Drosophila melanogaster: one gene and its partners. The protein of the gene in region 3 interacts with the protein of the main gene of each other region in a pairwise test. Each region holds a gene or a part of one and is shown on either strand. Other genes may lie near its edges.

Region 1 (4,994 bases), on a different chromosome or scaffold from region 3:
ATAGGGAGCATAAAATGGTAATTCTTTTTGCTGTGAGGGCATTTTTAACCAAGTTATACCCAAAAAACCGATCTTAATTATTTCAATTTTTGGAAAAATGGTTTCCCTGATTTTTTGTAAAAAAACTAATCGGTATTTTAATCAAAACATTGAAAATAATAATCCAAATATGGAATGTCATACCTCGTTGAGTTTGTTTTTTGAATCCCAATCGATTTGCATTCAAGTTTGGGAATTCTAGGATTTTTCAATTTTTTGCAAATTTTGATGATGTTACCCCTTACAAAAAATGCGAAAATTTGGCCAAAAATAAATTTTACTAAATCAGTTAAAAAGTGAAAGGGGTGGTTAGTATTGGTTATAAGGAGTATAAAATGGTACTAATTTTTGCTCTGTGACCATTTTTAGTCAAGTTATAGCCAAAAGAGCCAACTTGAAAATTGAGTTTTTTGCCAAAAATAGTTTCCCAGATTTTTTGTGATAAAATATTCGGTATTTTGATCAAAACATGGGAAATAATGGCCCAAATATGGAATGTCATACCTCGTTGAGTTTGTTTTTTGAATCCCAATCGATTTGCATTTAAGTTTGGGAATTCTAGGATTTTTCAATTTTTCGCAAATTTTAATGATGTTACCCCTTACAAAAAATGCGAAAATTTGGCCAAAAATAAATTTTGCAAAATCCGTTAAAAAGTGATAGGGATGGTTAGTATTGGTAATAGGGAGCATAAAATGGTAATTCTTTTTGCTGTGAGGGCATTTTTAACCAAGTTATACCCAAAAAACCGATCTTAATTATTTCAATTTTTGGAAAAATGGTTTCCCTGATTTTTTGTAAAAAAACTAATCGGTATTTTAATCAAAACATTGAAAATAATAATCCAAATATGGAATGTCATGCCTCGTTGAGTTTGTTTTTTGAATCCCAATCGATTTGCATTCAAATTTGGGAATTCTAGGATTTTTCAATTTTTTGCAAATTTTGATGATGTTACCCCTTACAAAAAATGCGAAAATTTGGCCAAAAAATTATTTTACAAAATCCGTTAAAAAGTGATAGGGATGGTTAGTATTGGTAATAGGGAGCATAAAATGGTAATTCTTTTTGCTGTGAGGGCATTTTTAACCAAGTTATACCCAAAAAACCGATCTTAATTATTTCAATTTTTGGAAAAATGGTTTCCCTGATTTTTTGTAAAAAAACTAATCGGTATTTTAATCAAAACATTGAAAATAATAATCCAAATATGGAATGTCATGCCTCGTTGAGTTTGTTTTTTGAATCCCAATCGATTTGCATTCAAATTTGGGAATTCTAGGATTTTTCAATTTTTTGCAAATTTTGATGATGTTACCCCTTACAAAAAATGCGAAAATTTGGCCAAAAATAAATTTTACAAAATCCGTTAAAAAGTGATAGGAATGGTTAGTATCGGTAATAGGGAGCATAAAATGTTAATTCGTTTTGCTCTATGACCATTTTTAGTGAAGTTATACCCAAAAAACCATTCTTAGATATTGCATTTTTGAAAAATGTAATTATTTTAAAATTTTTTGGAAATTTTTATCCAAAATTTCGAAATTAGTTTCCATAAATCATCCAAAATGTGTTTTTAGTATTGTTAATTAACTTTGTGATTTGGAACTGAATTATCGCATATTTCTTTTAGGGAAGCTGCACTGTATATTGCCAGATCCATTAAGCCTGATTATTTATTTTCTCTACTCTGTACTCATTAATTTGCTCGGAGATGCATCGTATCCAGTTCATTGAGCTGGGAATTAAATCGGTTTAATTATACATACATGCCTTGGGTAAAAGAGCATTACATTAATTTACCAAAGCATAGGGTAGCCTATTAGATACCGTGTAATACGAGAAAGGATTTACTATGTAATTGCTTAAAAGAAACTAGAGTTGCAGCTGTAGCAATGTTAATTTCCATTTTTAACAATATTATTTGATTGCAACTCAATAACAAATTAAAAGGATTTCAGATTTGAGATGCTCTTTAATTAGAGGTGTTCTTAGCTGCGATAAACTTACAAAATAAAACAGAAAATACACAATCTGTTTTATAATCCTCATAAAGCAATGCCCTTCAGAAGGCAGTAAAAAGAGCATTATATTTGGTGAAACTGTCGGTAATTTCAGTCGTAATTGGCCATTAAAATTTGGCTAGTTTAGTAGGGCCAAGTTGGTAGCACAACGCTTGTGGCTTAGAAGAACTTTTAGCCGGGCCAAGAGGCAGCAGCCAGCTGAAGTGCCACTTTTCATTAACCTACTGGGAGGTCATTCCACTGGCTCTTTGCTCTGTCTTTTGTTGCTGCAGGTGCACACAAACACACACACTCACGCAGGCTCCTCCGATAACTGATATATGTATATGTATGTATGCGCATATACCATATATATATGCTATATACACTATATTTGGTTTTGGGCCTGAAAGTGTCGCACCGAATTAGCCAGAGATGACCTCTTTTGGGCCATCAGAAATGGGACAAGCTGTGAAAAGTGAACGCCAGTCACGTTCGGCGAGTGACAACTGTAGCCCTTACCCCATTTTCCATTTCCATCGAAAAAAAAACAAAGAGCAGAAATCAAAAAACTTTTCACTGTGAAATGGAGAGTGAAAAGCGGGCGAAAGTCAAAGTAATCAGAAATGGGAAAGAGCCAGGGAGATGGAGGCTCAAGATAAAAGGCCAAAAATCTAGAGCAACGCACACAGACACACCGAAACGCAGCTCATTTGGATTTTCCTGCATTTTTCCCACTCGCACTTTTACCAAACAAAACAAAACAGAACAGAACGGAACAGAAGAAGAACTAGCAATTGCTTACCTTACTTATCCTTGCTGATCATTTGGCCACATTTAAATGGCAAATATATTAGTTTATCACTCTGATTTAACAATACAAATAATAACAAGTAGTAACGCTGCGGAAAGAGGAAGAGCAGGAAGCGGAAGTGCGGGCGGAAAATTCGCTCATTTTCGTAGACCGTTCGGTGCCAAAACTCGCGGCCAACTGGGGGAAAGCTGGTCAAAACACAGCAACAACTTTGCTCCACTTTCTCTTTGATATGCGTTTTTGCAGCTTTAAGCTTTCGTTTTGAAAACAATGCAAGCTTCGTCCTTTCTAACGAACTTTGCGTCGGCAAAAAAAGGCGAGCTTTTGGGACAAGCTTTGACACAAAGGTTAACTATTGGCGAATGCTATAAATGCACCATAATCTAAGGGCACAGCCAAAACTTCACCTAAATTCTATAAAATTAAAGGAAAACGCCATAAATGCGACTTAGGTTTATCCATAAAACGGTGATGATAAATGATAGAAGCGAGCTTTTTATGGCGAAATTTTCTGCTATTTAAATGTATTTATCTTAAAGAACTTGTACTTTCTAATAATTAACTACCAAATTTATTACAAAACGTTTTAAAAGAATTACTCTTGTTTAAAATGTGCTTAAAAGTATAAAATTAACTAAAAAATATGTTCTTTGGGCATATAATGTTTTTACATACGTAAATAAATTGTAAGAATGCGTAAATCTACTTAGAAAACAAGCGCATCTTAGAATATTAATGTTTTCGAAGTCTGTACTGAATTCATAATATTTTAATAAGAATATACGAATAAGAATAATATGTTCTAGGCGATATTTTCCAGTTCGCTCGTGTCACGACTTCCACCAAAAACACGTGCGGCGCATATCTGTCCTACGAAGGGGCTGAAATCGGCTTGGAAGGCATATAACATATATCGTAACTGTTATACTTTTCCCATTTGGCAATGCCGTTGTACAGCATGCCCATTTCCGGTAACAGCGATACTTCGGCTACTTTCCCCCAACTGTTAGCCACTTCCCCTGCCTGTTGGTCATGGAGTAACTTTTGTGGATCGCAAGCTATAGAACAGTTTGACCTTACTCAATGTTACTGCAATCCCTAATCCTGGAATTTTAACATTTGCCGAATCCGAATCGCTTTAAGCGGATTAAGAAAGCAGGAGAATGAAAAACTAAAAGAATGATAGGTGCGGGTAGGGGAATGGGGGTGCCTTCCGTCACTCCTCTCGGCTTGCAGGGTAAACGGCGGTGGGGTGCAGCGGGGGGGGGGAAGGGGGGTGAGTTCTCGAAAACCTGAATAATAGATAGATACACACACACAAGGGTCGGCCTTTCGGCCGATAATGGCTTTAATTCGTGGTCAATCTAGCGTGACTCCCCAAAGGATGCTCGGCGCGAAATGTTTTTACATCTCTCGCTCTCTCGTTGCCCCGAAGCGCCTAATAAATTTCACATTTTGCAACTTGCCGCATTTTGATTTTGCGGCCATTACGCAATTTTTGGCACTGCCGAAATGCCAAAAAGGCGAAAGGCATATATCCCAATCCCCAGCTGAGCCACGCCGCAATGAAAATGCTGAATACAAGAAAAAAAAAATGAGAAAAAAAACCACTAACGATTAAAAGCACACTCAGTTTGGATAATTTTCACAGAATTATTTCGCAATTCCTCTGACAGCAGCAATCAGCAGATTGTTCGCCAAATCAAATTGCTTTCAATCGACACTTTGGCGAACGATATTTCCACCGGACAAGGGGGCTATAGCCACGATGCTCGATATTCTCGATTGTCGGTCAAATCTTGGTGGGCAGAAAATCAAAAAAAAAAAAAATAAAAAAAAAATACAACACAATAAAATGAAATAAAATGAGAGAAATAAAATAGGAAAAGGAAAACCGCATTTCAGGCTAAAATGAAACAATAAAAACGAGTGCTGGGGTCGCAAAAATGAAAAGGTCTAAATTGCAAATGAAATGCAACCGAATCAAATAAAAAAAATAAATAAATAAAAATAAAAACCAGAAAACAGAAAAACAAAGGGGCATTCCCGAGTTGAAGAGTCAAAGGGAAAGCAAATAAATTGTACAAATTGTGGTAAATTGCGACTAACACAAACAGCAACTATGTTGTGAGTGCCAC
Region 2 (5,855 bases), on a different chromosome or scaffold from region 3:
TGGCTTAAATACCCAGTAGTACAGCCATAGGATATAAAACAAGATGAACAAGACGATGAGAAACCCGTATCCATGACACCAGTTAATTTGGCACAATAGTTTTGGCTTAACCTCTGGCACTGGCTTCTCAGAAGTTTCTTCTGTGTCATAATCATCATCATCATCATCTTCGGTTGAGTTATCTATCGATTCGGTTGTGGCTTCCGAGCCCCTATTGGGCCAGCATTCTTTGGAATCCTTGTCTGGGTTTTTCCTCATAAACATTTACATTCGAACTCAAAGGGGTAACTTACCGTAAAAGATGAAAATGATTGTGGCTGCCGTAAAGTAAGATATGAATATGATATGGAGCAGCACATGGAGTACCAGATAGGTGATTCGCTTTGCCCTCGATGGCGGAGGCTTTTCCTCCTGTTCGCCTTCTATTGGTTCTGCCATTGTGTGTATAAATGAGAAACAGTGTGTAGTGTAAAGAAGTGTTGTGTGGATCTTATGACTTATATCCCACAGCCCCTTAGTAAACAAATAGGTAAAAATAATCCTAAACATCTTTAATAAATAAGAATTGTATTTTGCTAAATTTGATCAGCTAATTATCACGAACTACAACTTTAAGGAACTAAAACTGAGTAACATTCTTTCGACCCAACTTCTCGAATATCCTGTTGTAGTTCGCCCGCTCGTCATCTTCTTGTATAAGGATGCCTATAATAAAGTAAAACTAGTTAAAATAATAAGAAATATTTATGATCGTTTATCGACTGACCTGCAAAGCTGGCGGATACGAAACAGACTATGCTGCCCACCACAAACGCTCGGAAAGCCACTGCTGTAATGGTGGAGCGACGATGTGGTGCCATAGCACTGAGGGATCCGATAAGGATGCCCAGGGAACTGGGATTGGCAAAGCCGCAGATGGCGAATGTGGCGATTCCAGCGCTGCGGGCCTACAAAAATCGACCTCAAACGTTAGTTTCCAGATGAGCTATGGGTTTCACACCATCTACAACTTACAGTGATATCATTATTTTCGATGTATTGACCCAGACGCTCATAGGCCACAAACTCATTGATAATGGTTTTGGTGGCCACCACCTTGGCGATGATATCGCAATCCTCTTTTGGCACCCCCATGGCCCAGACCAGCGGGATGAACAGCTTAGAGAATATCCACTCGAAGTCGATTTGCTCGAGACCCACCAGGTAACCAAACCAACTGACCAGACCATTTAGGAAGGCGATGAAGGCGACGAAGGCGACTATGTTAGCGATAATGCCCAGAACAATGGGCACGGCGTTGCTGGCACCACTGGACGCTGCGTCCAGCAGCGAAGAGTCCTGTCTACAAGGATGACAGTGAACTAGTTAGACATTTGGGTTAAACTAGGCGCCTTAGAAATACGTACGATTTTTCCAGTTCAATTGAATCGGATGAGGTCTGGCTCTCCTCCGTTTCGGGCATGTAAAGCTTAGAGATGGCCAGAGTAGCGGGAGCTGCCATCACCGAGGAGGTGATCAAGTGCGCGGCCGATGCACCGAATGACAAGTAGGCCGCCAACACGGTTCCGGACACGGTCGCAAATCCGGACACCATGATGCTGTGGATTTCGCTCTTGGTCAGCTTGTTGATATACGGCCGAATGAGCAGCGGGCTCTCGGACATGCCAAGGAAGATGTTGGCTGCGGCCGTCACGCTTTCGCAAACAGTGGTGCCCAGAATCTGCTGCAGGATCCAGCCCAGTTTGATCACCACCCACTGCATTGTACCCATGTAGTACAGGATGGAGATGAAGAAGCTGAAGAAGAAGATAACCGGCAGGATGGCGAAGGCGAACACATTGTTGTTCACCAGGAAGTCGCCGAACACGAACTCGGCTCCATCGGTGGCATAGCCCAGAAACGTGGCCACCTTGTTGCCCAAGCACTCGAAGATTTTTCGTCCCACCTCCCAGCGGATGCAGAAAATGCCGAGCAGAAACTGGCACGTGATTCCCGTGATGACTATGCGCCAATTAATGGCTCTTCGATTCGTGGAGAAAACGTAGCCGCACAGGATGAAGAAGCAGGGTGCCACCAGGGACACCAGTTTTTGGGTCTCGTCCCGGCACTCGAAGTACACAAAGATGGCCAAAAGGGCCAGGAGCAATGCGATGCTGGCCAATGACACAACTCTGGGAAAACGAAGAGGAGTAGTTAGAAGATTTAAACATATATTTTCTTCATAATAGTTTACCTGGTTCTGCTGAAGTTGTGCCATTTCTTTGAAAATGGTTTGATATAGTTCCTGTGCAGGCTGTGCCCCACCATCGGCTTAAAGACATAGTAGTAGAATAGACCCAAATAGATGAATCCCAGGAGGAGCAGGAGCATTCCATAGCCCGTGCAGAAGTTGATGCCGCACAATGGGTTGTCTTTCCAATAGCACTCATAGTTGGCTGTAGATAAATAATGGTATACTTCTTGCTAATTATTTTGGCGATATACTTACTTATGTCGTGATAGTGGTAGGTTGCATATGAGAAGTACCCCACAACACACAGATGCAGCAGTACATAAATCGAGATCCTCACCAGTCGCGCTACTTTTGGATTCTTTTCAAAATATCCCTTTTTATTTGCCACCTCGCTGGTGTCATCCAGTGGATGTTCCGTGAATTCTTCCGAGTCACGGATGTCCAACTCCTTCTATGACATTTTATAATATTTAATCTGGTTTACAAAGCTTTTTTAATTAAAAACCTACATGATCCAGTTCGTAGCCATTGTTAATAGCTCCTTTTGATGATTCGGCTGACATCTATAACAAAAAACAAGAGAGAACGTTTAAGTTAAGTGTATCGACTATTATATACCCGGTACAACAAAGCGAGTTGTTGCTTTGGCAGCAAATTTACTTGCTATATTTTGTTAATAAGCTTTCAGCTTACTCTTAATACCTTTCTAATGGTCCAATTTGAACGAGTCCTATTTTTGATAAGCCTATCACAACATTATTTAGACGTTAAGCATGTGGGCAGACTTTAGCGATATCGGTGGGCGTGGCAACGGCTTAAAACAAACTTGCATGCCTAAAGTTGCCTAGAGTTCTATATCGAACTTCATGCGGACGGACGGACGGACAACTGACGGATCCTTATGAAGAATATACTATTTATAGGGTCAAATTCTTTCTATATATATTCTATATATATCTTATATACCCTAAACGAAACTAATATACTTAGAGAAAAACTACGAGTATGTGGTATTAATACCCAGCGACAAGTAATTTGCCGCAATCATAATCTGGCATTATCTCTTTCAAATTATTTTAGCCCTCGACTCGAGTGGGCATATATGCCAAGTGTCGCACAGCACAAGATAGGTGTGTGTTAGCTATCTGAATCAAAGTTTGGCAATTTGAACGATTCATGCCACTCAAAAGCAAGCGATAGGATCCGCGGATTCCAATTTTAAAATTTGCACATGGGCCAGGATTTTTGAATTGGGCACTTAGTTTTTCAGAGTCAATGACTAAACTCCAGCACGTGGATGGCCACTCAAATAATTTCCGGGCATTAACTTAAGAGGCCAACAACGGGACTGGGCTGTAAACTACAGCACAGGCTATAAATAATCCACTTCAATTCTCATTCCTGATAAATTCGGGCTGTAAATCCCATTCAATATAGTATAGTTCCTCGTTAGGTGGTCTTTCGGTTAGGATTTTCCATTCTGGGTAATCGAAACAGAGTTGATAGCACTATCAGAGTGGCATTTAGCCAAACTCGTGAAAGTTAATAAAGCACTTATATTTAATAGACCAGCTCTGAGAACATGGTTATATGTATATTCAGCCTCGAGAACACGTGTTTTTTGCCGATTATTGTTTTTTCTACAAAATTGACTAAAATCATACAGAGTTCACATTCAAAAACACGTTTTTTATACGAGTATTCAGTTTGTATTTTAAGTCTATATAATGATCGCACCTTGAATTTTTGGAACGACAGTTAATTCACCTTTTTACTGTTTGTTTTGCTTCGTATCTGATGAGTACTATAGGTTTGTTATGGCCGAAACGGGTTTTTAACGTCGTTATTGTCTGCCCGAATACAAATGACTGATAAATGCATCTGTTTAGCCAGACTAAAAACGTTGGCTAACTGCCATTGTAGCTCGTTGAAACTCGCGGCAAGACTAAATTCGGTTTGCTCCGAACGGGCCTTTTTAATACAATCGCTACTACACGGTATCTGATAAGAAGGTATCAGGTTTAGGATTCGCACTGCCTTTTTTCTATCTAATAATTTATGGTGTCTTGATACCATTTGGCCTTTTTGATTTACAGAAATATAAGTTGAGAGCAAAGCTTACCTCAAATTAACATTAAAGCTCGTAAGAAATTTGTAATTTCTCGATTTTAATATTTAATGAGGCTTTTTATTTCATCATAGCAATCAATGGGTACTTGAGTACCCAGCTAATACTGTGTGATACCGATTGGTAAGGTGTTAATTTGGTTTAACTACACAGTGAAATAATTATTAAATAAATATTAGCTTGATTGTACCAACTCAATTTTTACAAATTGAGTTTTAACTTAAAGTGCAATGCCGCAAAATGGATCACTGATGAAAAAGATCAATTTAATATCAATTAAAAAATTATAATATAAAATAAAAATAATAATTTAATAACATTTGAAAACAGGCAGATAATATTAGAATCCACATTGGTTTCAATCATCTTATACTTTTCTTATTTTAATAAAAAAAAATTTCTTTGAAGATATTATAAATAATATTTATTGAGATATATCAGTCTAATATTAAGTTAATGATGATCAATTGCCCTATTTTCAAGTAGGTTCGATTGATAATCTTTTTAAGTTCTTTATACTTATTTTTCCCTGTGCATCCTAATACACTTGCGATGGCAGTGTACCGCTAAATAGGCAATTGAGATGACATGTTGCCTGTTTTATCAGCTGGCTGTTAACAATGAGATGTTCTCGGCATGCGTTCTAGGCCGATATTAGTGCCAGATAATTTTCAGAAGGGCCATAAACCCCTCAGCAGATTGAATGCGATAGCGATGACGTTTGAGGAATCTGATAGCTATATTGCGATAGAGGAAGGCTACCGCGATACCGAGTCGTACACCCGCCCATTGATAAAGACTTCTATTGGTGGTCGGCGATTAGCAGAATGACACAACTGATTGGCCAATCGAAGGGTGCAAAGTTAAAGGAGGTTGCCAATCGTAATTCTGTGCGATTTAATAGGAAAGAGCATCGTATCTTATCGTCGAGCCCCTCGTGTGATAATCTGATCCAAAAGGGGTATAATACAAGAAAGTCTGTAGTCAACTGGCTTTATATTTGATTCGCAACTCTACACGTGTTCGTGCGATTTAAATTTATTAATAGATCATATTCATCTTTATATTTCATTTATCGACTTGCAAATGCACTTAGTAGGTATGGATATGAAGGATTAGGGATACAATGTGCTTTGACTGGATGAACATGTGGTTCTTAAAATCTTAAAACCAAAGGGTCAATGGGTTCCAATGGGGAATTTTGAGATTTAGCAGAAAGGCACTTTAAACCTAGTGACTTATTTATGATGTAACACAACTATATTGCGGGACTTTAATCACTTATCAATAGAATCGAAAATGCTTGATTTGGTTCGTTCTTGGCTTGCTGGTTTTCGAGGGAATTGTGCAGAAGTTAGGGATTGTAATGCTTCGATAAGGCATTGATTAATTTTGTTTAGCATCTAAATATATTACTTAAATTCGTATAAATTGTTTTCCGGGCTTGCCTTCCTCTTGAGGCTTTGACAATTTTTGTTGCAAAAATGTGCGACT
Region 3 (4,626 bases):
GGAGAAATCCTCGTTTCCAGGATCCCTCTTCTCGTCCCCTATTGTTAACACTTCCTTGAACATATCCTCGACGGCACTGAAGTACAGCGTGGAATCGGAGGACATTGTGAACCTGATGCTGGCGAACAACTGAGCCCAAAGTTGATTGAAGCAAGTCAAGGGGACGAGTTTGAAATGCATTTGAACGGACCACCAGATCTTGGACACTTTTCAACCCTCGACGGTGTTCTAGGCTACCTGATCCCAAACAATGGTGTACATAAAACTAGGAAAACAGCTGGAAGGACTGTGGTAATGAGGGGTTTCCCTGCTGGTAAACCCTCATCTTAAAAAAATATTTGAACTTCCCTAGCTCAAATATTTATTAGTGAATATCTCACACTTCAATAACGAAGTTTTCTAATTTCTTTCCCCCAAGCTTAAAATATTAGCTTATTTTAGATTTACAAATTTTAAAAGCCAGTATGTAGAGATGCTATTAATTAATGATACACTTACTTTTATTTCCACTTTCAATTTTCTATAGATATTTTAGTTTTATTGTCTTGTTTATAGTGTGTCATCCAGTACAATATAACTTTTTTAATCTGCCTTACATTCATACATATTATACATTAAATATATATTGTGAATGCTTTACTGGGTTTCGAGTTCAAAATGTATTGTAAGGTATACAGTGAGTCACATTTTTTGCCGCTCCAACATTATCTACCTTTCTAAAGAACGCACAAATTGCCCATTCAATTGAGTCCCAAACTATCTATAGATAAGAAAAAATCCCATAACGAGCATCCGACGCGATTAGATTAAGTCATGCACTGAACGGCTTTGGTTCTTAGTTCGTTTCAATTTCGATTTCGACGGAGTTATTATTAATATGGCCTATAGTATAAATTCATGTCCTCAGATCAGTACTCCTTGTTGAAGTAGTCGCGTATGCTGCGCTTCACAATGGGCGTCAGTTGGGCGACCTGCTTCTGCACCTCATCCGTGTTCTTATCCTTGTGATAGAAGACCGTGAAGTAGACAATCAAGCCGATCACCACGACCATCAGGAGCGCAGAAAACACGATGCTCAGGAGCATCTTGCAGGCGCAGGAACAGCAGCTGCAAGGATATGGAAAGATCTGATTAGAAAAGTTTTACACATGATCAAGATGGAGATATCCTGGATGTCAGATCTTGTTGTCAGATCAGTTCAATTAGTTCATTTCAATCAGGTTGAATCCCGAATACTTAGGATGCTTGTAACTGAAGATACCCATTTCTAAATTTCCCAAATTGGCTTCATCCAGAGCTGGTCAAGAGCTCTCACATATAATTTATATATATATAGTATATATTTGTATATGATGATTAGTGAGCCAGAAACCGATGGAAACTTACCAGCAAACCACTTTGCCGGGACATTTGAGGCATTCACAGAGAGCGTTGCACATGGTGATGACTTTTTTGGGTTATTCTATTATAGATAGATATACTGTACAGTATATTTCCGATTCCCGATGCGTGGTTGACCAACACAAAATATTAACTGAAGCGGGTAACTGTCATCGACCGCATTTTGGGGTCTACAGGTATTGAAAGCTTTAATCATATCGGCCGAAAAAATAACAAATAGACTGATAACAAGTCGACTATAATTATCACTACGCCAGTGAGAAAAATGGGTGAGAGTTATTGGAAAACGGAGCTTACAATGTTTCCATTCGACCGAGGTATCTGTATCGTATTATCCATCATTTTCGTACTGGTGCATCCAGCAGAATAAAAATACAGAATAAAGCTATTTGCCACTTAAACATCTCGAGTGAAGAGGGATTGATCGTAATACTTATCATATATATGAAATATTATAAAGAAAACTACTGTTAGCACGACGATAAACACAATGACAACGATTAAGCGTCGATTCCAGCACATAATTCCCTACATTTGATTTTATTGACTATTTTGTTCCAAATCAAAACAAAAAAAAAATAACCAAAGAATTTGATTAGGGTCGCAAAGGTAGATGAATCATTTTTAACTAGAGTAGGGCGCAGAATGTTTGTGACAATGACAAATTGTTTTGTTCGTTTAAAGATATGTATGTCTCATCCGTTCTAGATTGTTTAAAGACAACAATCAACTTTGTGGCAATAGAAGCGGTTTTTACCAACAACAAACTTTCTATATTTAAGGCATTACTGAGCAGGAAGTAATATACCTGTTATCATTGATCATTAACTATGGTAGGAGCTTTCTAGAAATTCTGCTCAATATGAAGAGTATTGTAATGCCTCGAGGATTTAGCAATCTCTATAAAAAAAAAACCTATTAGCTGATAGTGGAAAGTTGTCAATTAAGCTGCCAATACCAGGAATAGTACTTGAAATACCACGAAAATAACGCTGTTGGGGGATTTTTCATCAAACCTTATCTCTATGGTAAAACCATAATAGTTAAAAAAAGCCTAAAGTCGACTATCCATTTTTGTGTAATTATTTATTTAATACTTAATTTAAAAGGATATTCAATCTGATGGAAACTTACCAGCAAATAACTTTGCCAGGACATTTAAGGCATTCACAAATGGCGTTGCACATGATGATAATCCTCGTTTGAAGTGTGTGTTGTATGAGTATTCGATTGTGCTCCCGAAAATGATTTTAGCGTATTTCGATCTGATCTTGGCCAACTCAAATGGATAACTGACTCTACGCGCAGTGCCATTTTTCCCATTTCGGCGTGAAAAGTATGAAAAGCTCTCAACCTACTGATGGAAAAAGAGAGAAACCGATAAAGATTCCAGTTATAATCAATAAAATCAGAAGAGAGGTGTTAGAAAATAAAGCTTACCACATTTTTCGGAGTGGGTGGATTTGTTTCAGATTATTTGAAGTGAGTATTATAATTTTTGCAATAAATTATACAATATCATTTAATTAGAAAAAATCTAAACATATAAACGAAAATGTAATGTAAACTAATGAAATTATTTTTTTTACAACGATAAATGCTCTATAACGAAGAAAGTTTCCAGAATAAAATATTTCTTAATGTTTATTCGTGTGATTAAATAATTTTAATACTTAAAAAAATACGAATGTACTAAAAACTGAAAGCTAAACAACATTAATTGATTCCTCGGGGGTTCACTTTAGCTTTTTGGCAATTCCCAAGTGAAATCAGTCATCTATAAGCAATCTTTATAATGGCTGTAAAGATATGATAGGGTTTTTTTGTACTTTTACGCGAAGAAATACTCGTTAACATTAAGGTTATGTTAAAACTAAGCACTTAAGGTAGGTTCAGTTCACAGGAACCTTATCAATATCGCTAAAGTTCGACAAAAATAGCCTTATTATGATTTATTTATTATAGGTTATTATGGTGGTACAAAACAACCATTTTGTTGGTTTTAACTTTGATTTATTTTGAAAAATATAACAATCCAATTTTGGGTAATTTTAAGAGGAAACTGTGTCATGATTTCGATATTCTCCGATTGAAATTGGTAAGCTTTTTTTTTTTGGGACCACAAGTGAATAGAGAAACACTCCAATGCTGGTCCCCATTAATGCAGGTCGCCGATATATTCGGCGACACCCGATCCCAACTGCTGATGTAGACACTTTGGTGGACTTCTTGAACGGGCACTTACAACGTAAGCAGAGTTCTCTAGCCCTAAGCTCAGTCTGAATTCGCGTTTAAAGATGGTCACACATGGTGTCCTCGGCTTGGGATTTCTCATTGTTGGTCTAATTCTGGCCACGGACGCCTGGCTGTTATCCGAATCTGGTTTAAACGAATCCAGCTACAAAGTCCGTCATCTATCGATGCACTTTTCGCGAGTGTTTCTCAGCGTAAATGTAGAAAGCAACGATGCGCCCACTTTGATCGAGGCGCAATGGCCGGTTTCCTATTTTCCCATGCCCACTGTCGTCTTTCCCCACATCGATGTTCATTCCATGGGGGATCATGATGATTGCTCTCTGGTACAACAGGCACACTGGTCCCAGGTGGATGCACTGAGTCGACTGTGGGTCATGGACATCGGATTTCCCGGCAGCACGTGCTCACCCCGTTTGTTTGTCTTCGATCTGATGCGTAACAACGCGGAGCTATTGAGAATCGATTGTGGACACCATATAGGTGCTAATGACACCCACTTTCTGACTGTCCAAATGGGACCCAAGAGTCCGGGATGCGAGCACGAGCGCCATATTTACTTCATCCTTGGAAAGGTACCAGAAATTCTAGCCTACGACATCCTGGAGCAGACGTGGCACCGCCTATCCTTGGAGAGCAATAAGTACGAGAATATGAATCAATCGTTTCCCATCAAGCCAGTGGATTTCATCTTCGGAATTCAAGGGGAACTCATACTCTCCGACCAGGATGGTGATCTATACAGTACGGTGGACAGACTGGAAATTGAAGGCAAAAGCGAATTAGCAAGCAAACCAATTAACAATAGCATTAAACTCACACATTTGGGCAGTCTTCTGGGCAGCAGTCGCAGCATGATCATCGACAATTTCGGAACATTGTACTATGTTATCCCCAAATTCGGAGCTGTCGTACGATGTGCCAAACTAGCCAACATCACAGCCGAGGGCAACGAAATCATATATATCACAT

The links. Proteins that work in one complex are often made in the same cells at the same time.
Region 1: the proteins of mex1 (region 3) and Syt12 interact in a two-hybrid assay, tested with the Drosophila melanogaster proteins (one large-scale study listed by BioGRID).
Region 2: the proteins of mex1 (region 3) and CNT2 interact in a two-hybrid assay, tested with the Drosophila melanogaster proteins (one large-scale study listed by BioGRID).

The regions. Positions count from the first base shown.
Region 1 is NC_004354.4:13,357,291-13,362,284, reverse strand, and holds the start of Syt12 (synaptotagmin 12), read right to left. Parts: upstream 3,038-4,994; 5' UTR 2,848-3,037; intron 1-2,847.
Region 2 is NT_033778.4:9,077,057-9,082,911, reverse strand, and holds CNT2 (concentrative nucleoside transporter 2), read right to left. Parts: upstream 4,192-5,855; 5' UTR 4,001-4,191; exon of another isoform or gene 3,971-4,000; intron 2,797-3,970; coding exon 2,743-2,796; intron 2,685-2,742; coding exon 2,489-2,684; intron 2,436-2,488; coding exon 2,234-2,435; intron 2,172-2,233; coding exon 1,407-2,171; intron 1,343-1,406; coding exon 1,015-1,342; intron 948-1,014; coding exon 767-947; intron 706-766; coding exon 620-705; 3' UTR 538-619; downstream 1-537. Other genes in the region: CNT1 (concentrative nucleoside transporter 1), read right to left, coding at 1-242, 294-438.
Region 3 is NT_037436.4:15,516,922-15,521,547, forward strand, and holds mex1 (midgut expression 1), read right to left. Parts: upstream 2,672-4,626; 5' UTR 2,589-2,671; coding exon 2,536-2,588; intron 1,865-2,535; exon of another isoform or gene 1,440-1,864; coding exon of another isoform or gene 1,387-1,439; intron 1,108-1,386; coding exon 909-1,107; 3' UTR 503-908; downstream 1-502. Other genes in the region: CG13454 (uncharacterized protein), read right to left, coding at 1-105; yellow-k, read left to right, coding at 3,699-4,626. UniProt on the Drosophila melanogaster protein: Involved in morphogenesis and development.